Linked DNA regions of Drosophila melanogaster. The protein of the gene in region 1 interacts with the protein of each later gene in a pairwise test. Each region holds a gene or a part of one and is shown on either strand. Other genes may lie near its edges. The genes, in order: Vps16B and CG15109.

Region 1 (7,902 bases):
TAACTGTTTAGCACTTTCGAACTTTTTCTTTTATTTAACTGCCTTTGTTTCTGCGACCTTATAGCTCTTTTGGGTTTTTTTTTAATGTCGAACAGCGTCTAGTCTACACCCCTTCTGACCAACTTCGGCTCCATTCACATTCAGCCCCAATTCCAGGTGCATGATGTAATTAAACGATCTGCCAAGCGTCAATAGAAATCCGATCTTCGAGAGGGACCGCGCCATAGGAAAAAACTTTCACCATTCTGAATGTGTTAATGACTTCATTTCTCCGGTGACTAAAGCCTGCCAAAAATTTAACGGCAGGTATCACACTGTTAGATTAATTTCCCATTCGGCGAAACTTCGAATGTGGCCAATTTGGGATTCGTGGGATAATCACGGGACCACTAACGAACTACTGTGCTAATTTCCAGCTCTTAGGATTCACTGACTCTGAGATTTCTGCCAATATGCGTGAGTATCTCAGAATTTAGCCAAGAAAGCCGAACCAAGTCAGTTGGCATCCGTCGGGGGGGGAACTCCCATTCCAGGACGGAAGTCCTAATGTTTTGACGGAAGCCGCAGACTGGCTGCAGAACCTTGAAGAATGGTAAAGAATTGCGAAGAATCGTGAAGAACGTATATGTAACTGGGGCTGGAGTCTTTCGAGTCTTTTGCATTCTGCACAGTTTTTCTCAGTTTGCTGCGTTTTTGCAGTTCACTTTTTCAGAATGATTGTCTCCGTTTTTCAACGCTGGCATAGGCATAGTCATCCGTCAGTCCGATCACTGCCGTTTAAGTAAACCGGTTAACGTTTTTTGTTCAGATTTTTCTTAGTTATTCCTCAGTCGGTGCATCTGGGCAGCATCTGCTGAGTAGCGGTTCGATCGGAGGTGGAAAAGGCATAGCTCTGTTCCCACACCAGTGCTCATGATGTGAGGCATTCTAACATCTTCGTTTCAATATCCATATCCATATTCATAGTCATATCCATATCGTCAAACAATTACCTAATTAACAAGTTCGTTGCCTGAGTCTTTCCCGAATTTCAGCCTAGTCACACTGAGACAAAACACTTTCGCAGCCCAAGATCTTTCGCAATGGGAACAAGGGAGCACCGAACTTGACCATTCGATGGTCGCCGCAGAACTGAAGTCTTCCACGCCGCCGAGTGACTTGTTATAAAAATTAGATAAAGAAGTTCTGGGAGCAGCTCGGCTGGCGAAGGAAGAGAGAAGGCGCGAGAGAGCGGGACGCAGTTCGTCGTGGAAGTGGAATTCTTGCAAAAGAAAGTCTCGGGGCGATGGATGTGGATGATGCTCGCAGACGAAAGAACCTCAAACAGAAAGAAATTGTTAGCATGGTAAACACACTCGTGCTTGGTAATGGTGAGGTATCACCTGTGGCTGGATCTCTACACTCCGAACTCGAACGTGTTGGAGATGCAACCATGGTGATTGCGGTCAACGATCGAGAACAATGTGCACCTGTCTGCGCTCTTTGGCTCTCTTTGGGCCTAACATAGGTAACATATAAAGTTGGCATTATGGCTCCTCGAATAATTTTCTTATGGGCCTGTTAGCGCCCAAGGGCTGCCAGAAAAGCGACGCGTAACAATGGGTTTTGGCTTATAACTGTCGCTTGCGTTTTTACTATTTTTCACTTTCACTAATGAGAAATGAGGAGTGTGGAGTTGGGAGTTGGGAGTGAGAAAGGTACGTACGCAGGTGTCGCGTGAAATCGCTCGTCACCCATTTTCTCCCATTCTAGCCTAATCGGCTTAGGCCAAATCCACCATAACGATTTGTGTGGGCTTATGTTCGGTGTTTACTTTTACTCCATTTCGACTAGCCCCCATCCCCATCCCCCATTCGCACTGGCTGGAGATCAGTGATATCTGCCGATCTCGAATAGCCCACTTTATTGGCGGGGACAGCGCTTTCGACGTGGATATGCCAGTATGCCAGACCAGAGCCAGAATGGCCCATCAAACGGTGTTTGATTTCCAAATTTATGGGTCAAGCCAATGCAAATCAGTTGGCCGAGTCCGTTCGCCGAGAAAACGGGTCGTGCTTTGATAACAAATTGGGCAAACAATAGATGAGTGGAGGCCAGATTTGGCCATTAATGCTATTCAAATGATATACATTTGTGAAAAGCGAGGAGAATCGGACCGAAGAAAGCCCTAGTTATTGAAAGATGATTCATGGCAGATTGCTAGGTAAGTGGCCCCTTGGAGCACCTACTTGGTAGTTAAGTATTCCCTAATTTAATCCATTTGGTCCATTCTTTCCTCGCATTTCAACTATTTTGAACTTTAATTAGTCCGGCTCTTAATAACTGACGGCACGAACGGAGCTTAGTTACATATATTGTATATTCTGTCTGTCGGCGAAGCTGAAACAGTTGCGAGATAAACGAAACCTCTTCCTAATTACAAAGTAATGGGCACTTATTGAAATGCTTTTTCTCATTATTTTTCACGTTCTTCCGTACTTAAGGTGCGATCCAAAGACCGCACATTCCTACTTTAAAGCGATTCTTTCTCCGTTTAACTGCGAATGATGTACAAGTTATGGTGGAAATTGCTTCTCCTCCAGGCTTCTGGGTGTCTATCTCTGGAGAGTCGCCCAGATCCACGCATAGTCGGTGGCTTCCCAGCCGATATCGCCAACATTCCGTACATAGTGTCCATCCAACTGTACGGCATCCACCATTGTGGCGGCTCCATAATAAATAACCACACCATCCTAACGGCTGGCCATTGTCTGAACGGAGTGCCACATCGCCTGCTGAAAGTTAAGGTCGGCGGAACGTCGCGCTACCGAAAAGATGGGGAACTGTTCTCGGTCGCTGACCTGCAAGTCCACGAGAATTTCAATCCCAAGACCATGGACTATGACATCGGTATCATCAGGTTGACCAAAAACCTAACACTATCTAGAAAGGTTTGAAATACTCTCAGCTAAAATGAGTTAGTTCAGCAATTTGCTCTGTAGGTAAAGGCCATTCCCATAAACCCAGAGAGAGTAGCCGAAGGCACCTATGCCACCATTGCCGGCTGGGGATTTAAGTCCATGAATGGTCCTCCCTCGGACAGTCTGAGATATGCCCGAGTGCCGATCGTGAATCAGACCGCCTGCAGGAACCTACTGGGCAAAACTGTGACGGATCGGATGCTCTGTGCAGGCTACCTCAAGGGCGGCACGGATGCCTGCCAGATGGACTCCGGTGGACCCTTGTCGGTGAGGGAGCAGCTGGTGGGCATCGTGTCGTGGGGAGTGGGGTGCGCCCTGGCGGACAAGCCGGGAGTCTACTCCCGCCTCGATGCACTGCATCCCTGGCTAGACCAGGTCTTGAATAAGTCAAAGTAATGCAACATACTTGATTCGGGCAGTTTCACTATTTTAGCAGTTGGCACCCATGAAAGACGCATAAAAACGTGCACGTAAATGCTTTCTCGCTTAAAGTGAAAAAATCTACGCGGATTTAATCGTACAAAATAATAAAAACTTTAAGGTTCATTAAAAGCCAACTATTTGTGAATAAAAGAAAGCGAAAAGAGTTTATGATGAAACTTGATGTTCTGCTGAATTAGCCGTTGCTAGTTTATTGCACAAATCAAATGCGTTCCCGTTTCTAGCCAATTTGGAAAGAAGTTCTAAATTCTAAATTGCTTAATTTTCTGTGTCAATCGTTTGATTCAACGAAGATTATAAACAATTAACAGCTTTTTCATAACGGATTTCACTGAAACTATTTTTAAATATTTGAATAGCCGAAAATAGTGCGACCATGTCTGTGCATTAAACGGTAAATTCATTAGCGCAGCCACACTGGTCGTCACAAAATAGAACCTTACATTTAATAACGAATAATAACAATGGACCTGCAATTGGACAGCGAAAGCTATTGGAACCGATCCTCTCGCGCAGCGTTCAGCTTCGACGACGAAGACGAGGTGGACCTCGCCCCGGATCTGGTCAGCAATGGCATCCTCGCCGACGACACCATTTCGGAGGCCAGCTTCAATAACAGTGTCGCCCTGAATCTCTCGATCAAATCCATTCTGAGCGAGGAGGCATTGAAACTGGTGCTGCAGGAACAGGCGCTGGACGACAGGGTCCTGCCCAAGGGTGTCTCGCCGGAGGAGGAGCTGAAGCTGCTGCGCCGACAGCTTCAGAGCACCCTGTACAGCCCCAATCTAGAAGCCACTGCACAGAAGCTGCTGCAAGGAAAGACTGCGCCCTTGGAGATGTTCAAGTCGCTGCATGAGAAGCAGCAGCTGCTGGACACCCTGATGGCACAAGGTGGTGGGCATGCCGTCATTACAGTGTTGCTCTTCCTCAAGAGAACTCTGAATACCACGCAGTTTCATGGCATTCTGAGGGAGAGACCCAAGGCCTTGGAGCAGTATCTGAGTTACCTGAAGGAAAGTGGCGACCTGGCGGGCCATATTGAGCTACTGCAGCTATTTGGACGCCACCAGGAGGCGGCTCTTAAGCAGTTTCAGGCAGCGCTCGCTTCCGGAGATACGAGCACCAGGAAGAAACACCTCCAGCTTTTGGTGGATGCCTATGCCACAGCGGGAGTGGGTGTAATACCTCTCTACGAGCAGGTTTTTCACGCTGCCCTCAAGATGCAGCAGCTAATGGAGAAGGATAGCGCGCTCGGCAAGCTGCTTCGGGATCAACCCACTCCAGTGGAAGTGCTCTATGCTTGCTGCCAGGTGAACAGCAATTGGAAAGAGCAGGATATGCTCAAACCAGTGTCACCTCAGCGTTTTGCCGCCGACCAGCAAATATCGCCGGCCCAGTACGAGTGGACGGCGCTCAATGAAAGGGCGCAGGCACAGGCTTATGCGGATCTGGAGTGCATATTTGAGCGGGTGCCCAGTTGGCATCCGCTGAAGACCAAACAGTTTCACATCAGCTTCGATCTGACGCTGGCCGTGCTCCGGCTGTACGAGCTGCAGGCTCCCTCGACCGTCCTTCAGCTATTCCTCTCCAAGATGGGCAACAGCGTTGAGAAACTGGCGCTAGCCCAGCGGGTGAAGTGCATCAAGGCGGTCATAGATGCCATGGCCGGGTTGAAGCAGCAGCAGGAGCTACAGCAGCTCAAGGACACCCTGCCCGAGCGATCCGAGGAGCAGTTCTACTGCGAGAATGCGCTGAAAAGCCTCCAGAGCAAGCGATGGACTACGGACAACATCAAGCTCAAGTTGTAAAATTGACTTTCTTTTACTTGTATAAACGTATTTTATTGTTAATCATTTATATGTGTATATAATTATATTACTACTACTCTGGTTTTATTAAATAATTGCAAATCACAAGCTGAATATCGAATAAAAAACAAAAATTTGTATCATTTGTATGTTTCATGTGTATATCCTGCAGCCTCCGTTGATCTGTTCGATGAGCAGTTTTGGATTACTTTCCTTCGGTCTCAGATTTTTGTGTAGTTTATTGAGTAAACAAATAAAAGCAGGCGTGGCCAATGGCAAACAAAGCGTTACAAAAATTGGATTCTTTAAACAATTTGTTTGTCTTAAATATTTCGTTTAAATAACAGCGCTGTAAAAAGCATTTGATGTATAAATAACCGCAAACAACAATTATGGTATATATATATAGTTACGCGTAAAAATGTAAGGGAAGATGGGTTCTAGGAGTTGGGAGTCCGGGAGTCTGTGAGTCTGGGGTTGTGTGTGCTGGGGGCAGTCCTCGGTTCTAGGTCAGAACTCATAACGAAACATATTAAACAAGACAGACGGGCCCTCAACTGATGCGTGTTGAACGAAATTTCAGAGGATCCAGGATCTGAACCGGAAACGAAGCTCCAGGGCCCAGCCACTGCTAATTGGCAGCATCGCAGTCCGAGTAGCTGAGCAGGCGCTGGCACAGGATCGTCTTGAACTTGACCGTAAAGCTATCGAATATGACATCGGTGTCCTGCAGCTGCTCGAGCTCCTGGCCGGCGGACGTGGCCGCTTGATTGCTGTCCGCAGCCGCGATGAGCTGCTTGAACTTCTGGTTGAGATTCTGCTCCAGCGTCGAGTTGTTGTTGTTGAAGTAGAACACGTAGGCCAGCTCCAGCAGATAGTAGTCCAGGTCGCCCATGAAGAACCGCTCGCACTCCAGCATATCGAACTTGCGTTCCAGGAAGTGCAGACACAGGTGGTAGATGAGGTGCTTTAGGTCGGTTCTCCTCAGCGGCACATAGCCCGTGTCCTTGCTGAAGTACTCAAACAACTTGAGGGTGCGCTGGGCGGAACCGCAGCTTTGCAGGCACAGCCGGAAGGCCTCTACGAAGCGAAAGTTGAGCATGCAGATACGTATGCGGTACTCGTTGCGATGTGGACGGGCGCACTCGCCAATCTTGTCGGGATTATACAACCCGTGAAAGGCGTACAGACAGTAATGGATGTAGTGGCGCAGATGCTGCAGCGACGACTCTCCCATTCCCTCGGTGCTCTGAGTGTAGGTGCTGCCATCGTCATCGTCGCGGCCCAGCAACTGCTCTGCATTCGCGGGCATACCAGATCCAACTGCCTGTTCTGGCAGCGGCACGTAGCTCTGCTCCTCGGGTGTGTAGTCCATGTCCAGCGAACTGTGGGCGTCGCCCAGCACAGGAGCATTGTAAGAGAAGCTGGCATCGTTCTGACTCAGGTTTTCGAGGCTACTCAGCATGTCGTCCGAGTCCTGACCGGTGGCCGCGTGCTCCGTGCTGCTTTTGTAGTTCGGAGTGCCCACCGAGCAGTGCTGATCGAAGCTTATGTTTGCCGGCTGCAAGAAATGCGGCTGATATGGTGGCATAACCTTAAGGTATCTGACCGGATCCTGGTCTAGTCGAATGCGCGGTCTCGGCAGATTGATCTCCACCGGTACTTCCACGCACTGGCTCTCGAATCGCACCAGACGCTTGGTCGCTGGAAGGCACACCACCCTCTGACGCATCCTCTCCACACTGGGCCCCAAGTCCCGACCGCACTGACCGTTCGAGTTGCCGCCGAAGGCACGCACAACGTGATCGGTGGTCATGACCAGCGTGAAATCCGAACCACAGTCTACGTACATCGGACGCTCGATGCTGTCGATGGGCGAGGGCTTAAGCACCGCCCTTCGATCTTTGTCCTCGGTGCCGAGTTGGTGTTCCAGGTTCTTGCCCCACGTATAGAGTGTGCAGCTGGACGAGATCAGGCAGAAGTGGAACAAGCCACTGGAGATCTATAAAAAAGGAGATTTCAAATTAAAAAAGCAAGCCATGGCTGCACTCTGTCATAAATTACCTGCAGGATTCGTCCTGCCACCTCGCTGGTGTCCACTAGATGGGGCGTCAGGTGCTCCGTGGGATCCGGTTCTGGGACAAGAACTGGCGGAGAAGCCACGGGCACTGGCGGTGGCGCCGCTTTTGCAGACGCCGGTGCAATTGTTTCCGTAGCGTCTGATGGCGCAGCCTCGTTCTGCACGTCCTGGCAATCTTTGGTGTCGCTGACGCTGGACTTCGGAGTGGAGCCGGCCACCACCGCCGCATATGATGTGGTGGGCTCCACCAGAGTGCTGGTACTCGGGATGGGTGCCGGCAGCAGGGTAGCCTCCAGTTGCTTGCTCAACAGCTCCCGCTGCTGATTCTCCTCCATCTTCTGCTTGGCATTGGCACGCCGCTTGATCTGATTGGCCAGACGCAAGGCCTGCGGCGAGCTTCCCCAAGTGAACAGACGATCCTGTTCGTCTACAGCTAACTGTGGGGGATTTTAGAATGTAGCTTGGATCCCATCTGTAATTGCTGAACACTTACATTGGTAAAAAATTTGGTGTGTATCAGTCTTAGGCTGCAGTCGCCCACTTCCAGGCGCACAGGCAGGTTCGTCTTGGTGTCGCCATGGTCACTATTGCCGGTGCCCAGCTGGCCAAAGTG
Region 2 (7,830 bases), on another chromosome or scaffold:
TATATTCAGCAATTTATTTGCTGGTTATTTGCGAAAAGTTTTCCCTTAGTTGTCCAAAAAATGTTTATATATATTACTGAGCAGATTCCTGATACTTGGGCCATGACTTTAACGGCATTTTAAAGGCACCATTGCCATTCATTTGATATTTGCTGACTCAACAGTTCAATTGAATTTTATGTTGTTGCCTGTCGCCTTTTGACTATGAAATCTAGATTACAACTTTTGGCAACAACTTGTGGCTAACGTAATTACAAGCTTCCAAATGACAACCATAACATTAACAACAAAGGCACCGAAAGACCGACAGCCAGACAGAGCGAGTGACTGACAGAAGAGTCCTGGCAATGTCCTGGCAACGCTCGTCTTTGTCATCCTCATAATGAAGCCATAAATTTCAAAAGCAAAGAGATTAGCGAAAGTGGTCGCCGCCTGCCTTTCTCGAAATTTATATTTATATTTATATTTATATTTGTATTGTACGCAACTTAAAGCTATTTACGCAGATGTCAACTTAAAGCGAAAATGGCATTGGTGACGAAAGTGTGGCAAAAGTTAATGCACTTGCAGTGCTGACAGGACCTTGGAGTTGAGTGGAATGCGGAATGGCTGATGCAAGCATTTATTATTTACACTTGTAAATAAATATATATGTGTGCGAGGGTCTATGTTGGAGGGGGCCTGGTCACTTAGCAGCGGGAATTGCACATACATTCGCATTTACACTCCAGTTAACACCCCAGGGACATTGGCAGTGCCACCACAGAGAGAGAAATAATGTTTGCCTTACTTTTATATCTATAACAAATATAAGATATTTTTTGAGTGTACTAGAAATTATTATATAAATGTTAAATTCCTAGAAATAAGCAAGTACGTCCTTTAATTATTATATTTTTATGTCTGTTAACGTATGAAACACTATAAATATTTAATTAAATAATTAAATCTTTATACCACTCTCCAAATATAATTATTGTGCAATCTTATTCCATTCTTTCTATTTTTCCAAATGTATCTTGAAGTCGAAGGAGCTACGCAATTTTACGAATGCTGCGTTGCACTTTTCCGCTTGGCACATGTAGATGTACTGCTGGCATCTAGTGCAGTTTATATAGATTATATACGTGGATTTGTGAAGCAAATTTGTATTTATGCTGATGGCCAGGCACCCATGACACTCGCTATTTCAATGGCTTGCCTTTCCCTGGTGTTCCCAGTCCTGAAGCCTGAATTCTGATTCTCGATTCCTGACTCCCGGCACATTATGTGCCCCATTTAATGTCTATGTATGTGCAGCCAGTACACTTGCACATACTATGGCACACACTTACACGCCCAGTGAACGTCAAGTGGCAATTTACATTAGTTTTATTGTATACGAAATTAGCAGCATTTAGCAGTGGCAGCCGGCAAAACTTTTGCCTTTCGGCTCCGTTCGCTATGTCCCACCCCTACACCCATACACACACACACATGTATTGCTATAAATGGAGGATATATTCTCATCCGCAGTCAAGGGTTTGTATGTTAGATTTGTTTGCTCGTTTGGCTGCACTGTCGCACTCGGCATATCAATTTTCCCGCTCATCCACCTCTCCCCTCAGGACATTTCAAGGTAGGAAATCGATTTTGTTAATGAAAACGAAGGAGAACTTCAAGGAGAAGGCCACCCAGGGGATCGGGTGTCGATTGGAGCGTAAGTTTGATATTTGTTACGGGCGGAACAATGGCCATTCTGCTCGATGATGGCATTCCCGAAGGATTATATTGCAACTTTCGAGCTTGATTTTTTATATTCTTCCGCTGAACATAGTTATTATGATGTGTATTTAGTTTTTATTGTCTGTTTTTTGTATACAAAGTAAAAATGGTCTCGCCACTCCTTACATATGCAAGAAATATAAACATCTTCCAGTTGAAGCAACAAAAAATAAAAAAAAGAATGCGGAAAAACAAGTAACCTAAAATTTTTAAGAAACATTGTGACAGCTGCCCGTTTCAGGTTCACACTAGATGGCACTCGTTCACCAAAACGACATCATCTTCGACCACGTCGCCATTACGATTGGCATGGTGCTCATGGTGAATGGGACAGCTGACGATGAGCTCCTCCTTGGGTTCCATCTTCTGTGCCTCCTTCTTGGCCTTCTTCGTTAGTGCCTTATCCTTGATGCCCTTCTTTTTTTCCATCTCCAGCTCCAATTCTAGGTGATCGCCCAGCAGGTGATCGATGACATCGGGATTGTTGCGCAAAGCCAGATCCATGGCGCCATCAAGGAATTGATAGAGGGGTGAACTAACGTGACGCTGTGGCTCCTTTGGTGGTTCCAGCAAGAGATTTCCCTCGAAATTGGGCTGCAACAGCTGTTGCAGCATGTAGAGCATCGGTGGCACAGCCGGCGAGGATTTATGCTTGCGATGGTGCTTCAGTGGTGCTGCATTATGAAGTCCGCGTGGAGTGTTCTCGGCTGCATTCAGCAGTAGCACTCCGGCCAATTCCGGTGGCAGAACTTCCGGACCGTAGTTCAGCTCCTGCTGCACACTCTCAATCATCATGTTGGGCGCCAGCAGCTCGAACTCCTTTATCTCGTGCTTGCCATCTGGCGAAACCAGCTTGTTGTAGTACACGTAGGGATTGGAATTGGGATTGGGATTGGGATTAAGATTGGGATTAGGGTTGGGTGGCAATGAGGTGGCCATAGCAGCAGCTTCCACCGCTGGGCGACGCTTGTGGTGCAATTGTCGTGGCTGCAGACTGTCGTCCATCAGGCTACCCAAACGCCTCTTGGGACGGCGCAGTCCCAGCAGATCCTCCACTAGCTGAAATTTTCCGGCATCCGGAGGCGAGGATGTGGATGCCACAGCAGCAAGTGATGATGATAATGCGGTGGTGGTTGTGGAGCTAGTGGTTTTTCCACGAACTCCCATACTGCGCACCGGTCCAGCAGTAATCTTCTGCTCCGGAGATGTGGCGGCTTCAGTCATGTTAGCGGTGGTAATGGTACTATTGGCCAACACGGTGGCTTTTCCGCTCAGTGAAGCAGTATTGTCCATTGTAGTGGTTTCATTATAATCACTTGCAGTATCGCCTTGAGAACGCTTCATGCGCAGACAATCGCCGTACATCGGCCGCATCAACATGAGGACACCTTAAGCAAAACAATGGATGCGTTTGAAATACACGCAATTAATTATAAATAATTGCATGCTAGATGGTACTGAAAACTAACGTATACTTACACCCAAGGATCAGCAAGTAGTTCATCTTGTATTGCATGATAGGCAGCGCTGTGGAAGACAGTTGAGTTGAAAAAGTGAAAAGTGACCACAAATATTCTCAGAGTTGAATATTTATTGTAGATTTTTTTCCACCAGAATAGTTACAATTTGAACTTACTTTATTTGATTGGAGTGGGTTCTAGGTGTGCTCGGCACAAAGTTTGTACTGAAAATAATTCGAAATGCTTCCTGCCTCATGGCGAGGCTTTGACAGACAGCTGGGGACCTGGTAAAAGGTTACTGAGAGTACGAAAAAAAAAATCGAATTTCAATATTTTTCTGATGGGGATTTTCCACACACACTCACTTCCATTTGTGGCGACCTTTTCAAGTGCTGCAAATGGCAGCAATGGTACAAAAACAAAAAAAAAAGTAACAAAACACAACCGCGCACACCAAAAAAGTTTGTTTCGTGGGCCGCAAACAAAAGCAAACAGTGGAAAAAGTTTAGCTTATAAATTTCCAATCAATTTTTCGTGCAAAAATCAAGCGACCTCACACTCACACACAGGCACAAGCTCAAGTGTTCATACACGTAGTGTGTGCCTGCGTGTGAGTAGCTATTACTTGATTAATAAATATTAGCAGCAAAAATTGGAAAATTCTCAGCGAAGCGTAAAAGTGCAAACACCCAAACGGAAATGCGATACATTTGCGAAATGGCAGGAGCATTTTCCAAAACATCGATGCTTCTCTACGCACACAAGCACGCACACAGCACTACTCACCTACTCCATGTAACTTTTGATATAAAAGGTATATAAGAATTATCGAAGATATGAAATATAGGTTATGAATCTGCATGGATTGACTTATTGACTTAAACTATAATTTCCCATTTGTTCAAAATGTAACAACTATATCTTCTTTTGTGTTATATATCAAATGAATTTTGGTTACTTTCAAAAGGGTATTTCTTTCTCGATTCCCGTTTTTTTAGCCTAAAACTTGAACTTGTTTCTGCCGCCTTCGTCTTTAGGCATTAATAATGTAAAGTGCGTGCGTCAAATGTGAATTCCTTGCTGCCAACGCACGCGATTTCATAAACTGGCGACATTTTCAACAAACAATTCTCATCGCCGTCTTCGATGTGCTTGTGTGTGTGTGTGTGTGTGCGCCCTTCGAGGCGACTTGGCGCTCAGGTGGATTTTGGGGTGCAGGAGGCGGTAAACCAAGGGACCCCGAGGAGCAGGCACTTTTCCTTATCAGCTTAAATGTAAATGCCAAACGAGTGCACTGAAGGCGGGGAGGGGGGTCGAAAGGGGGCGTGGCTGAGCAGCAGCTGTTGCTGCATTGGGGATTTGCACATTTATACTCGCATATTGTAGCCCCACTCCTCGAAAACCCCGTTTTTCCGGTCCATCCTGCTGTCTCGTTTTCATCTTCTCGTTTTTTATCTGCCAAAGTTGATTTTTCGAGTGTATTGAATAAAAGTCGATTTTCCCCTTCTGGATTTGTGCGCGTTCGACAAGCGGCTTAAATGCGTACAGTTAATACATATCCTTTTTGCATATGTCTGCGTGTCTGGGGCTTATAAGCCAGTGTGTAAGTGGGTGTGCGTGCTCTTGCTTTGATGTGTGAGTCCGTTAAGGTCGTGGCTTATTAGGGGTCCGAAACCTTTGCCGCAGTGCATCAACGCGGCGGGATTTGCACGCAGACACTGCAAAAAGGCTCCCAAGACGATCCACTATAATTGGTAGCGAAAATCACGCATCCGCCGTGTGGGTCAAGTGGTGCTAGGGGAACTGGTCTAGCAATTGCTTTGATCTCGGGCGGAAAATCGGTGAGTGCGACTTTTATTAAATGTTTCCCTTTCGATTTGTTTCGGCGGAAAAGACTCCGGCTTTGTAAACTTTCATTAGTTGCCTCGTTAATATTCCAATTGTTGACACACAAAGGCGAAAGGTGGTGGAGGGGATGGCTGGCTTAACCTGTGTATAAAGGAATTTAATTAATAACGTCCTTCGTCCTTTTGCGTGTGCAGCGCGGCGTAAACTTAATTAAATGCGCAAGTGGCAAGTAGCAAGTAGCTGGGGCCACAGTGGCAAATGACAAGTGGAGATGCAGGACCAGCAGACGCAACTGGAGAAGCTCAGGTGCAAAGGTTGAAGGTAACACCTGGCCCGGCTAGAAGTAAGAAAAAAAAACGTTAAGGAAACCCTCCTGCCCCACATGTCAAAAGTTTTATTGGCGCAAACGCTACTTTTATGGCTACTGTTAATAGTGAAAAATGGTGCAACAAAAGCCAGAATGATGGCAGATGCTTAGACAAAACCAGATGGAAATGGCAAACGGGGGGAGCGGCAAGTTCATCGAGTTGGTCATAAAACAACGAGTTGTGGCTCAGTGACTTTAACGCGCTTCCATCTTTACGAGTTTGGTGCGCCGGGTTTATAACCTGTAACTGGGGGCAAAGTTTATTAAGTTTATGCCAAGTGCATCAAATATGCAAAACCGCTATAGTTGATCATCTTGGATGCTCGATGGATTTGACTTCGAGTCTGACGGAGATGTCTTTTAGCATAATCGCTGGTTATTGCTATAAAACCGGTTGGCAATCATTCTATGCTGATTTTATGATAATCACAATTTCAGCTGTGATCTATTAAAGGTGCTTTCTTCTGTGAGTTAAGTTGGATATATTTTTCTAATGGGAAAAAATCGTTAAAGTAAATAGTCTTCTTGTTTTTGCATTTAATAATGCCATATAATTCTGTTTACATAGGTTTTAAAATATATCATGCCTTTTCCTTCTTAGCTTTATGAAAGTGTGACATATTTTTCTGCGTGTCAAAGAGTTTGAAAAGTGATTTGCAGCCAAACTATAAAATGCACTGGCATTTCGGACTGTTTTTAGTGCAGAAGCTTGACTGACGACCGTAAGAAGTTACGCCCATTCCACGCATTCTAAATCAATTTCAGTCGAACGCCTTTCGCCTGGCATTGATTTATGGCCCAAATCCAAACGTCGTCTAAGTGGAAAAGCCGAACCGAAAAGAGGCGCAACTTTACCGAATTATATTTCAATTTTGGCAGCGAAAATGAAACAGAAACAGAGCCATACCGAGTCCACAAAAGTGGGGCGTGGCTGGGGAAAAGATGTTAAGAACTTTTTGACAATTGACTTAAAAAGTTTCCTCAAGCTGGCAGAAATTGACTGCCTTTTGTATACAAATAGGCCGAAATCACCAAGCCCACACACACACACACACACACACATATGGACAGGGCAAACGGAAAAGCTGGAGAAAATGGTGCCGCGTCCATGAAGCGGAAGTAAACACATAAAACGGAAATGAAAATTCAATTATTTCGTTACGATTGTTCAACTTTTTGTTGTTGTTGTTTTCAGTGTGCATCTGTGTGTGTGTGTGTGTATGTGTGTTTTGTGCTCTCATTTCGTGTGGCAGGCAGAGGCCAAAAAAAGTTTAACATTAAGTTAACGTGCAACTCGCTTCGTGGGTCAGCATATGCAACTTTAGCTCTTTTTGGGCAAATTCAATTTTAGCTGCCACTTTTTTGGGGCATGTGTATGTGTGTGTGTGTGTCTGCACCGAAACGAAAGGGCCGCACATTTAAATGCGATTTTTAACAGTCGCTTCACGCACAATTAGCCTCTCGAATCGATTTTCACTTAAAGCGTTTTCCCAGCTTCACTTAGCGATCCCAAATGCAGTTAGCACGCTAGACGATGTTCGATAAAGAATTTCTTTTCCCAGGCCTTTTGGTTGCAGTGGCCTTGGTGGTAGTATTACAAACACGCAGCAGATTGCAACAGGATTTGCAGGATATGCGATGGCGTCTGACGATACACGCTCTCACCGTTCGAGATACGTTTGGGAATCCAGTGCAACTCGATACATTCGCCGGCCATGTGTTGCTTATCGTCAACATTGCCTCCAAGTAAGAATGATCCACAGAAAGTTCTTAATAACTTGGCCCACCCTTTACTTCAGATGCGGACTTACTTTATCTCAGTACAACGGTTTGCGCTATTTACTCGAGGAATATGAAGACCAGGGCTTGAGAATTTTAAACTTTCCCTGTAACCAGTTTGGGGGTCAAATGCCCGAGTCCGATGGCCAGGAAATGTTGGATCACCTGCGCAGGGAGGGAGCCAACATAGGACACCTCTTTGCCAAGATAGATGTAAAGGGAGCTCAGGCAGATCCGCTGTACAAGCTCCTAACGCGCCACCAGCATGATATCGAATGGAATTTTGTCAAGTTTCTGGTGGATCGAAAGGGAAACATCCACAAGAGATATGGCGCCGAACTGGAACCAGTTGCCCTGACCGATGACATAGAGCTGCTGCTCGGCAGATGAGTCCGAATAAATAACGCAACATACGCGTTTCTGCCCACTGGCTTCCATAACTGCGACAACTGTGACGCCTTATCATTGGGGATTACTGTTTCTGATGTTGGCATCACATGCCAAGCGATTTCTTTCTGACGGTCTTACCTGGTTTCGCCTGTCACCTTCCCGCTGACTTCTGTCAGTTGCAAATGGCCAGCGTGGAAAGGAGCGTGGAGAAGGTGATAGTGT

What was found.
Region 2: the proteins of Vps16B (region 1) and CG15109 interact in a two-hybrid assay, tested with the Drosophila melanogaster proteins (one large-scale study listed by BioGRID).

Annotation. Positions count from the first base shown.
Region 1 is NT_033777.3:29,812,370-29,820,271, reverse strand, and holds Vps16B (vacuolar protein sorting 16B), read left to right. Parts: upstream 1-3,820; 5' UTR 3,821-3,865; coding exon 3,866-5,209; 3' UTR 5,210-5,351; downstream 5,352-7,902. Other genes in the region: CG7829 (uncharacterized protein), read left to right, coding at 2,544-2,930, 2,982-3,356; ca (claret), read right to left, coding at 5,841-7,211, 7,274-7,726, 7,783-7,902.
Region 2 is NT_033778.4:19,055,057-19,062,886, reverse strand, and holds CG15109 (uncharacterized protein), read right to left. Parts: upstream 3,467-7,830; 5' UTR 3,401-3,466; intron 3,292-3,400; 5' UTR 3,269-3,291; coding exon 3,244-3,268; exon of another isoform or gene 3,153-3,243; coding exon 2,008-3,152; 3' UTR 1,822-2,007; downstream 1-1,821. Other genes in the region: Gpxl (glutathione peroxidase-like), read left to right, coding at 6,974-7,185, 7,239-7,608.